Linked DNA regions of Oryctolagus cuniculus. The protein of the gene in region 2 interacts with the protein of the main gene of each other region in a biochemical or structural test. Links are inferred from orthologs where the notes say so. Each region holds a gene or a part of one and is shown on either strand. Other genes may lie near its edges.

Region 1 (2,518 bases), on a different chromosome or scaffold from region 2:
AGATCCATGGATAGAAGTCAACTCCGCTGGCCACAGCCAGGAGCACTTAGCGGCCACACAGAGCAGCCAGGTGGGCTGCCGGGCAGGGCTGTGTGAGACGGGTCCAGTTCTGCTTCTCGCTGGATGAGGCGGCCCCCAGCCCACCTCCCACCCCGGGGCTTCCAGACAGGAAGTAGGGAGACAGCCCCGAGACAGGCAGCAAGAACTGCACCCAAAGCCGAACCACAAAGAGCTCGATCAGCCCAGGCCCGTGGCTGGCGGGGCGCGGGGCGGCCACGCGAAGCAGCCGCGGACTTACCAGTAGGTTTTGCTCAGATACTGGAAGTAGTACATGTAGCAGCCCGTGGAGGGGTCCTGGGCGTACAGAGCCTCGCGCTTCTTGGCATCGGTGATCTCGATGAGGTCGCCGTGGTACTCCACCACAAAGTCACCCCGGGAGAACTGCTTCGTGGCAATTACGCCCCTGCCTTTGCCGTCGATGAGGTCAATCTGCCAGGAGGCGGCGAGAGAGCATTGGTTTTTAATAGCAGTGGCGGCTGCAAGGCACGGGCCTTCCTGGGGGCCCGCCAGGGGCAAGCTTTATCTTATTATTATTTTCAAATTTTCAGGATTCATTTATTTACGTGAAATGCAGAGTTACAGATAGAGAGGGAGAGACAGAGCTCTTCCACCTGCTGGTTCATTCCCCAAACACCAGGGCTGACCCAAGCCAAAGCCAGGAACTCCATCCGGGTCTCCCACGCGGGTGCAGGGGCCCAAGCACTTGGAGCATCTTCCGCTGCTTTCCCAGGACCCTAGCAGGGAGCCGGATCGGAAGCAGAGCAGCCGGGACACAAACTGGCGCCCACACAGGATGATCGCGTTGCAGGCAACAACTTCACTCTAAGCCCCAACACTGGCCCCAGGAGCAAACCACACTGAAGAGTGGATACAGCTGTGCAGCCACCGCCGCACCCCAACTTCAGAACTCCTGTGTCCCAGGGCACCAGTGTGCCCGTGTGCAGGGTCCCGGAGCACCAGTGTGCCCGTGTGCAGGGTCCCGGGGCACCAGTGTGCCCGTGTGCAGGGTCCCGGGGCACCAGTGTGCCCGTGTGCAGGGTCCCGGGGCACCCGTGTGCCCGTGTGCAGGGTCCCGGGGCACCCGTGTGCCCGTGTGCAGGGTCCCGGGGCACCCGTGTGCCCGTGTGCAGGGTCCCGGGGCACCCGTGTGCCCGTGTGCAGGGTCCCGGAGCACCAGTGTGCCCGTGTGCAGGCACTGCACGAGGTCCCCAGGGCAGAGCTACCCCAATGCTGCAGATCAGCAGACCCGGGCTCACAGAGCACAGCCATGTGGCTGAGGCCACAGAGCCAGGAACTGCACCGCATAGCCTCGGCCTCGCCGTTTAGGTTCCAGTGCCAAGAGCAGGGCCCGGGGGCTGGCGCTGTGGCACAGCAGGTAAGGCTACCGCCTGCAGTGCCGGCATCCCATATGGGCACCGGTTCGAGTCCCGGCTCCTCCTCTTCCCATCCAGCTCTCTGCTATGGCCTGGGAAAGCAGAAGATGGCCCAAGTCCTTGGGCCCCTGTACCTACCCCTGGTTTTGGATTGACAAAGCTCTGGCCATTGCAGCCATCTGGGGAGTGAATCACCAGATGGAAGACACCTCTCTCGCTGCCTCCGCCTCTGCCTTCAAATAAATAAATGAATCTTTGAAAAATAAAAAAGTGCAGGGCCTGGGTCCCAGTCTCCCCTCACTCCCTGCCAGAGCTCCCCTTGCTCCATCAAGATGGAGTCAGGGCGGGGGCTTTAGGGGCCCGGGACTTGAGCTCCGATTCCGTTTTGGGGCTGTGGGGTGGGCACTGAAGATTTCTGAGCCCAGGGCCAAGTCCAGACCCACCAGGCCACCCCAGCATAGAGTGGAGAGTTACTCCCCTCTCCCCAGAGCGCGGGTCACTCGGGATTGCCATTGCGCAGGACAAGAGTTCAAGACAAATGTATCAGTTTCCCCTTTGATATAAGTCAAAGCAGCCGGACCCGGCCAGCTGCACACCCACACTGTGTGGCTCAGGCGGCAGGACGCACCGGGGGACAGATCCAGGGCCCAGAGTGTGCCGGGCTGGCAGGGGAGCAGGGTAAGTTCTGGAACTGGGTAATGGTGATGGTTACACAACATCCTGACTGCGCCCCATGACACACAAGTGTCCACTTTAAGAAGACATGTGTTCTATTATGGGCACTTCACCACGACTTTAAAACCTTCCCCCCGGGTAACACGGACGCACAAAGCCCATTTATGTTTCCTTCATGAAGCAAGCGTCTCCTTGGCAGTGTGAGTGCCTGGCTCTCTGACACCCCAGGAGCCTGACCAGTCCCTGCGACACTGGTGGCCAAAGCCGCAGGCGGCCCCCCCACGCCGGCTGTGAGTGGACAGCCTCGGCCACGCCCACCCTCGGCCACGCCCACGGGCTCTGCCGACCCTTACCTTCATCCCTTCTTCCTTCCCGCTCTCGATCAATTCATCTATTCTTTTCCGTTCTTC
Region 2 (4,199 bases):
TGGCCCAAGTCCTCGGGCCCCTGCATCCCCATAGAACACCCGGAAGAGGCTCCTGGCTCCTGGCTTCGGAGTGGTGCAGCTCTGCCCGTTGTGGCCAGTTGGGGAGTGAACCATCGGATGGAAGACTTTTCTCTCTCTTGGCCTCTCCTCTCTCTGTGTAACTCTTTCAATTAAATAAATAAATCTTAGGAAAAAAAAAAAGGATCCTTCTGACTTCCAGTCCAGTTCTATGATAATACACGGGCTACACATAATCCAATATTAAGTGTACATCAGCTGATAAAATACTTCCCCTATGCAACAGAAGTCCTTGAAGTATACTGAATCATAGGGTCCATGTTCATACTCGAGTTCTTCACTAATAAATATTCGCCTTGCCTCCTATATTCACATCTATACAGAAAAGCGTACCTCTTCAGCATTTAATAAATGCTTCTTTTGCATACAATTATATCACTTAATAATTACAAATCTCTCCAGCTCAGTGGCACTGGACCCACTTTGCAGACAGTAAGTCGAGGCTAGGTGCAGTTAGGTGACTCGTCCAAGATCCCAAAATGAGCAGAACTGAAATTCAACTCAGTAGAACCCCAAAGTTCCTTCTACTACGCCAAGCTGCCCCCTGTAAGGAAACCGAACTCATGCAACTTGTGTCCAGGGAATGAGCACAGGCCATGCTTTTCGGGTGATCTTGGTCATTTTTAACCTACCTTGTAACCCGCAGGCCACAGAGCTGCGGAAATCAAAGAGCTACAAAGTCAGTGCCAAAGTCGTGATGAAGACCTGGTCGCAACTGCAAGCACTCAAGAATATTTTCACAATTTCAACCTGGTGTTTTTAGGAACTAGCCACTTTCGCTGTTTGGAAAATCGGGGGACTGTGCCCTCAAGCGGTCAAAACGGGACCCCCACTAGAGCTCGCTGCTGGTTCAGCGGACGCAAAGTCCATCAGGCGACCCTGCAGTTCTCCTGCAGGATCCGGAGATCGCCAAAGCCCTGGCCCCAGAAAAGCTTAGGCGCCGCCCGCCCAGCGAGGCTGCGCGCATGCGCCTTCCCAGCCCCTCCAGAGGCTGCCACCACCTGGCGGCGCCACTTCCCCCACGCCCGGTCCCCCGCTCAGCCCGCTCTTTCGAATACCTTTGTCCAATTCCATAAGAGCAGAGTTAGCATCCAGTTCCTGTTCGCCATAGCCGGCATCTGCCAGGAATGACTTAGTTGAGTTTGACGCCATGACTCGAATAGTTACTCGACTAGCCCAGTCAGACAGATCACAAACTCTGCCCCAGCACCGCCATCTTCTCCTGCCGCCTTCTCGCGGATTTTTCCTCCGCGCTCTGTCAAGCCGTGCCACGCATGCGCCCCGGTCACCCCACGGTTCGCCGGCGCCTCTGCGGCCCCCCGCGCAGGCGCTCAGGGAGCTCCCGAACCCTAGGTTCCCGCGGCTGGGAGAAAAGGAGGCGGGGATTCCAAGGGGGAAGTGACTCTGAGACGGCCGGACGCCGCCCCGGGAGCCAATCAGAGCGTGTGACGTCAGTTTGGCGCGGAGTTTGGCGGCCGGGGCTCCCAGTGGCGGGAGTTGGAGGCAAAAACGAGTCGCGTTGCGAGGGGCGCAAGCTACGGCTTCTGCGGGGCTTGGGGGGGCGTTTTCACGGCTTTTCTCTCACTTGAGTCTCTTCCTTCGGCCCTCATGCTCTTCAATTCGGTGCTCCGCCAGCCCCAGCTTGGCGTTCTGAGGAATGGTGAGTAACGGTCTTCAACCGCTGCTGCTCGCTGGCGGGATTCCTCCCCCCAAACACACGCCGCCTTGGATCGGGGCCGACTCCAGCCCTAGGTCCCCGCTTTCGAGTTCTCCCACGGCGGGACGGGGTTGGTGTTCGCGAGGAGTGCCGAAGAAAGCGGGGCGTGCGTTCCTGCAGGACATTTTTGGTCGCGAACGGGCGTTTTGCATCGTGGTGTAGGCCGAGGGAAGGAGGGACGGAGGCCGGCCCTTATGGCTTACGTCTATATTGCGCGTTAACTGGGAAAGGCATGCCATGTGTTCTCTCAGCAGCTCCGTGAGACCGTCCAGGCTCGGATCCATTAGTTAGCCCGTTAGTTCGTGGTAGAACCCTAGAGAACCCCACTATTTGTGATCGCAGCGGACGTGAGCGCTGCGGAGGACCTCGATCGGGCAGAGAGGACAGGACATCTGCTCTCCGCCGGGTCGAAATGCAGCCTCCCCCCCTTTCCACACAGCCATAAAAATTCCGAACTGTAGCGTCCAAGATGCCCATAACCACGTCCCCCGGGGACGGCCGCGGTTAATAGGTTGAAGTATATTATTCTAGATTTGTTGGATGTCCGGAAAGAAATATTTTCAGAAATGAAATCAAAACGTTTTGTTTTTCTTTTTAGCAGCGTTAAGTTGTCCCTATTCCCGTGTCCGCCTGTAGAAATCCAGCTCATTTTCTGCAGTTCTCTAGGTTATAAGAGTTAAATCACTGGCACAAGGAGATTTGAGCTTAGGTTTGGGTATCATCGACCTGAAATTTTTGATACTTTTCTGAAATAGGGGTTAACTCTCTAGACTAACCCGGGACGGAAATGAAATCTCATTTTTTTTAGAAGTGTGCAATACCCAGAGGTCCCCCTGCCCATGGTAACCATGTGGAAAAGACAAAGATAAAGGAAAGACTGAGAAAGGAACTTTTTATTTAAGGAATGGGTCTCAAAATGGATGTTGATAAGACTGAAGAGTGATTGCCTGCACTTCCTGCTCCAGATCTAAAACTATCCTGCTTTCCCTCTTGCCTCTGAGCTAACCTTTGTGGTTGCACTCTAAATCCTTCTCTCTCTGTCTCTCCTAGGAACTTGCTGAACACCTCTCTGTCCTCTGTGTCTCGGAGGGCTGTGCAGCACGGTGGTTAAGAATGCGATTGTCTTTGGAGTTAACTGCCTGGGTTTTAATTACAACTCCACTCCTTACTTTTCGTGTGACCTGGGGCAAACTATTGAGCCTCTATTTTGTGACAGATTTTCTCCTAATTCTCCAATACATCTGTCTACTTTTTCTCCTTCCTCTCCTATTCACGAGTACTCATTCATTGTTAATGTGGTAAGCACTAAAATTCACTCATTATGTGTTGCCCATTTAAATATTCAGTTACCTTCTCCTTATCCTTAAATGTTAGTGTTCCATCCTTGGCCCCTTTTGCCTATTGCCATAGGTAATCACAGCCATAACTAGGACTTCTTAAACTAGTACGTATAACCTTTAATCTCCTACCTATATTTTAGATTCATTTCTAAAAAAGCTGTATGGGTTGTGCCCCCCCACTTTGTGGCTCCTGTGAGCACCTGAAATGCAAATTCCCAAAACCAAACATAATTTGCCTTCTGAACCTTCTGTGTGACCTACAGGAGTAGCCCCATTGTTTTAAAAGAGGAATTGGAATTTTTATCACAAGTTTAAATAGATGCTAAGAACATGATTTGTGGCTATATTGTGAGTACTGACATCTTAAAAATACTAACTCTTCTAAATTTATCTGGTAGAATGAATACTGATTTAATAATCACATCATCTGTTTAAAAATATGAATAAACTCTTCCTTAACTGCAGAATATTCTATGCAGTTGCTTTTTTCTCTTGAAGTTATTTCTACTGTATTTCTCCTACAGAACTTAACCTAATATAAGTTGTTGTATACTTGAAAAGTCCTTTTACTGATAATCCTGTCTTGTCCTTCTGTGTCCAAAAGTACATTTAAATTGCTGTTTTCTGTTATCATAATGCTTTAATGTTAAATGTTTCTCCTGGGTTTAATTTTCATTACAGTTTTTAGTATGTGATTGATAAAAACAATATATGATCAGTTTTGATGAATAATTATTAAAAAGTAACTTTTATTGAAATTACATGTTTTAAAGGTGGATTTGGGTGTTTGTGGTGCTATTCTTAAATAAATGATCCAGTTATCTCAGGTGGGATACCAGAAGGCTTTTGGTTTTACTTAAAAATATTTAATTGATACCTAGGAGTTTTTATACCTTGAGTCAGTGTAAGGTATATAGTTGGGAAATGGAGAATGCCTTTTTTTTTCTTTGTTAAAGGAAATGATGAAGGTAGAGAAAGATGTACCTCACCCTCTCAGGTCAGTTTTAGAAATGCATATATATGTATGTGTGTGTGTGTATGTATATATATGTGTGTGTGTGTGT
Region 3 (3,652 bases), on a different chromosome or scaffold from region 2:
TAGTTAGTGAAAGTGTTAGATTGTAGAGTGAGAATTTTAAAAAGTAAAGAAATGTTAGCTATGTGAGGAAGAGATTTTTATTTTGTTTAATGCTGTAAACTAGCAAAAAGTCAGCTTTCAGAAATACTTATTAAATGAATGAACTTAGCAGATAAGAGAAGTGGGTCATATCTTTATTTTTTTATTTATTATGCTTTTAAGATTTATTTTATTTGAAAGGCAGAGTTACTGAGAGAAGAGGAGAGACAGAGAGAGGGATTGATCTTCCATCCACTGGTTCAGTCCATAAATGGCCACAACAGCTAGAACTGGGCCAGGCTGAGGCCAGGAGCCAGTGTCTTCCAGATTTCCCATGTGGTCACAGGGGCTGTCTTCTGCTGCCTTCCCAGGCATGTTAGCAGGGAGCTGGATTGCAAGTGGAGCAGCTAGGACTCGAACTATTGCCTATGGGATGTTGGCGCTGTAGATAGCAGCTTATCCTCCTTGGCCATAATGCTAACATGCCCCGCCCCCATCCCCTTTTTTCTTCTTTCTGTGTGTGTGTGTGTATATATACACATTATTTTTTATGGATCAAATCTATTAAGTTGCTTTTGGGATTGTTGACTCCCATGAATGGATCTGTTCAAAACTGGAATAGGTTGCTTTGGGATTTCATAACATCAGAGCCAAACACTAAGTAATTTTTCAAGGATGTTTTTAATTAATATTTATTTGAAAGGCAGGATTACAGAGTGGGAGAGGCAGAGAGAGAGAGGAGAGAGAGAGAGATTGAGCTTCCATCCACTGGTTCACTCCCCAAATAGCTACAATGGCCAGGGCTGGACCAGACTGAAGCCAAGAGCCTGGAGCATTTTCCAGGTCTCTCAGGTGGTTGCAGGGACCCAAGTACTTGGGCCATCTTCCGCTGCTTTCCCAGCGCATTAGCAGGGAGCTGGATCGGAAATAGAGCAGCTGGGTCTCAAACTGTTGCCCATATGAGATGCTGGCATCGCAGGCAGATGCTTAACTTGTTGCGCCACAGTGCCGGCACCAAAAAATTAATTATCAGGAATATTTAAAGATAATTTAAAAACTTGACTAATAGGACTAAGGTACTTTCAAGATCTTGTCCAACCATGTAATTTAGTTACTTAGCCTTCTGCTAGTTTTTTCATAAAGCTTTAAAAAATTTAAAAATAATCTTTTAAAAAATACACTTATCTTCTAATTCCACTTTTCTATGAACTGTGAACCAGTGGATGGAAGACCTCTCTCTCCCTCTCCCTCTCCCTCTCCCTCTCCCTCCCCTCCCCTCCCCTCCCCTCCCCTCCCCTCCCCCTTTCCCCTCTCTCTCTCTCTCTCTCTCTTCCTTTTTCTGTAGCTCTTTCAAATAAATAAACCTTTTTTAAAAAAAGTTACAGATAGCTATTTAAAGGATAGATCACTCTGGCTACCTCTGAAGTCAAATACAAGTAAATATCAGGATTACTTAAATATTATGTTGTGTGAATGTACTTGATTTTTTAAAGAATCAGTCCCCTATTTTGAGGCATTAACTTTCTAACTTAAATAGAATAGTGATTCCTCTTCTATATATTTGTGCACTGGTCCAGCACAAAAACTGAGTCATGTTATAATAAAAATTTGTTACAGCACTAGCCTTTTTCCTGGTTTATATCCCAAAATTCAATGGCAGTGAATGTGGATATATCTTGTGCTTTTTTTTTAAAGTAGCTACCTCCATAGTTTTCATTGTACACATTGTTATGAGATTAAATAGTCTTTTTACTGATGGATGTTTAAGTTATTTACCAATAGTATTGCTTTGAGTATCCTTGTGTTTGAATTTGTGGGATTGTTTCTGTGGATATGGTCTTAGAAGGGGAACGTGCTGGGGCTGGTGCCGTGGCTCATTTGGTTAATCCTCCGCCTGTGGCGCCAGCATCCCATATGGGTGCCAGGTTCTAGTCCCCGTTGCTCCTCTTCTGGTCCAGTTCTCTGCTGTGGCCTGGGAGGGCAGTGGAGGATGGTGCAAGTGCTTGGGCCCCTGCACCCACATGGGAGACCAGGAGGAAGCACCTGGCTCCTGGCTTTGGATCGGTGCTGCGTGCCAGCCGTAGTGGCCATTTAGGGGGTGAACCAATGGAAGGAAGGCCTTTCTCTGTCTCTCTCACTCTTCCTGTCTAATGAAAAAAAAAATGGAACGTGCTGACTCAAGGAATGAATATTCAAATTTTGACATCTTTTGCCATATGGCCTTCTAAAAAGGTTTTATCAGTTTTTATCATCTAAAAAGGTTTATAGATGGCTTTCCCTTACTTACGGGTCTGGGTTAGATCCTTATGATTTTCTGTATTTTCATAAACTTCATGATAATTATCTATTATCTTTTTCAATGATTTATCTACCACCTGCATTGGCTAATATAATATCTGTCATTTGGTTATAGTATTCATCAAGTGTAAATTAAGTTGAAAATCCTGACTGCGGTGTGCCTAATGTGTAACTGTTGTTTTCTTCCTGCCCTCCATGCTATGTGATGAAAGGCATTGCTCTACTTTCAGCTCATGTTTGGAATTTGGGAATGCTCTTTTCTAGAAACACAGCCCCCCCGCCCTTTAAAACATATTGATTTATTTATTTGAAAGGCAGAGTTACAGAGAGAGAAGGAGAGACAAAGATCTTCCATCCGCTGGTTCATTCCCCAAATGACCTCAACTACTGGGGCTGGGCCAAGCTGAAGCCAGGAGCCCAGTCTCCCATGTTGGTGGCAGTGGATCATGTACTTGGGCCATCTTCTTCTGTCCTCCCTGGCTCATTAGCAGGGAGCTGGATTGAAGGTGGAACAGCTAGGACTTGAACTGGTGCCCATACAGGATGCTGGTGCTATAAGCTGTGGCTTAACCTGCTATGCCATAGTGCTGGTCCCACATAGCCCCTGTGACTCCAACATTTTCCTTTAACTTAGTCTAAACTGTTGGTGTGTGTTGATACTTCTCTTAAGTTAATGGAAGAGATGAATCTGTTTCCTAACTTTGGTATAGGTGGTAATGCCTTTTACTTTTTCTTACATTTAAACATTTCTTTTTGTTTATTTTTTTCATCTAAGGTAGAGAATATTTTCATTTAAGGTAGAGAAAGTTCTATGAATTTTAAGTAACACGAGTGATTTTTCCAATAGAAATTAATTCCTTTATCTGTTTGCAAAATGTTCAATGTCATCCTTGTTTCTTTTTGTTTAGATAACCTCAAAATCTCCGACTTTGGCTTGGCCACAGTGTTTCGGCATAATAATCGTGAGCGTTTATTGAACAAGATGTGTGGTACATTACCTTATGTTGCTCCAGAGCTTCTGAAGAGAAAAGATTTTCATGCAGAACCAGTTGATGTTTGGTCCTGTGGAATAGTACTTACTGCAATGCTGGCTGGAGGTAAGACCATGGCAAATTCCTGTCCTAAGAAAAGTCAGATTTTTTTGCACTAAAATCAATTAAATAAACCAAGAGAGTCCATATTATAAATTTTTTGTTTTAAAAAATAATTGAGAGAAAGAGAAAGTATGCACTCACATCTACTGGTTCACTCTCTAAATGCCCAAAATAGCCAAGGCTGGACCAGAACTGAACCCAGAAGCCAGGAACTGAATCCAGGTTTCCCATGTGGCTAACAG

The links.
Region 1: the proteins of DTL (region 2) and KMT5A form a complex in vitro, tested with the Homo sapiens proteins (2 studies listed by BioGRID, with this or other methods). The link is inferred for Oryctolagus cuniculus from reciprocal best matches to the Homo sapiens genes DTL and KMT5A.
Region 3: of the proteins of DTL (region 2) and CHEK1, one has a biochemical effect on the other in vitro, tested with the Homo sapiens proteins (2 studies listed by BioGRID). The link is inferred for Oryctolagus cuniculus from reciprocal best matches to the Homo sapiens genes DTL and CHEK1.

The regions. Positions count from the first base shown.
Region 1 is NC_091452.1:5,945,696-5,948,213, forward strand, and holds part of KMT5A (N-lysine methyltransferase KMT5A), read right to left. Parts: coding exon 2,462-2,518; intron 490-2,461; coding exon 299-489; intron 1-298. UniProt on the Homo sapiens protein: Protein-lysine N-methyltransferase that monomethylates both histones and non-histone proteins. Specifically monomethylates 'Lys-20' of histone H4 (H4K20me1).
Region 2 is NC_091444.1:26,552,070-26,556,268, forward strand, and holds the start of DTL (denticleless protein homolog), read left to right. Parts: upstream 1-1,387; 5' UTR 1,388-1,686; coding exon 1,687-1,738; intron 1,739-1,766; exon of another isoform or gene 1,767-1,901; intron 1,902-3,020; exon of another isoform or gene 3,021-3,093; intron 3,094-4,091; exon of another isoform or gene 4,092-4,113; coding exon of another isoform or gene 4,114-4,132; intron 4,133-4,199. Other genes in the region: INTS7 (integrator complex subunit 7), read right to left, coding at 1,137-1,230. UniProt on the Homo sapiens protein: Substrate-specific adapter of a DCX (DDB1-CUL4-X-box) E3 ubiquitin-protein ligase complex required for cell cycle control, DNA damage response and translesion DNA synthesis.
Region 3 is NC_091432.1:118,833,305-118,836,956, forward strand, and holds part of CHEK1 (serine/threonine-protein kinase Chk1), read left to right. Parts: intron 1-3,224; coding exon 3,225-3,413; intron 3,414-3,652. UniProt on the Homo sapiens protein: Serine/threonine-protein kinase which is required for checkpoint-mediated cell cycle arrest and activation of DNA repair in response to the presence of DNA damage or unreplicated DNA.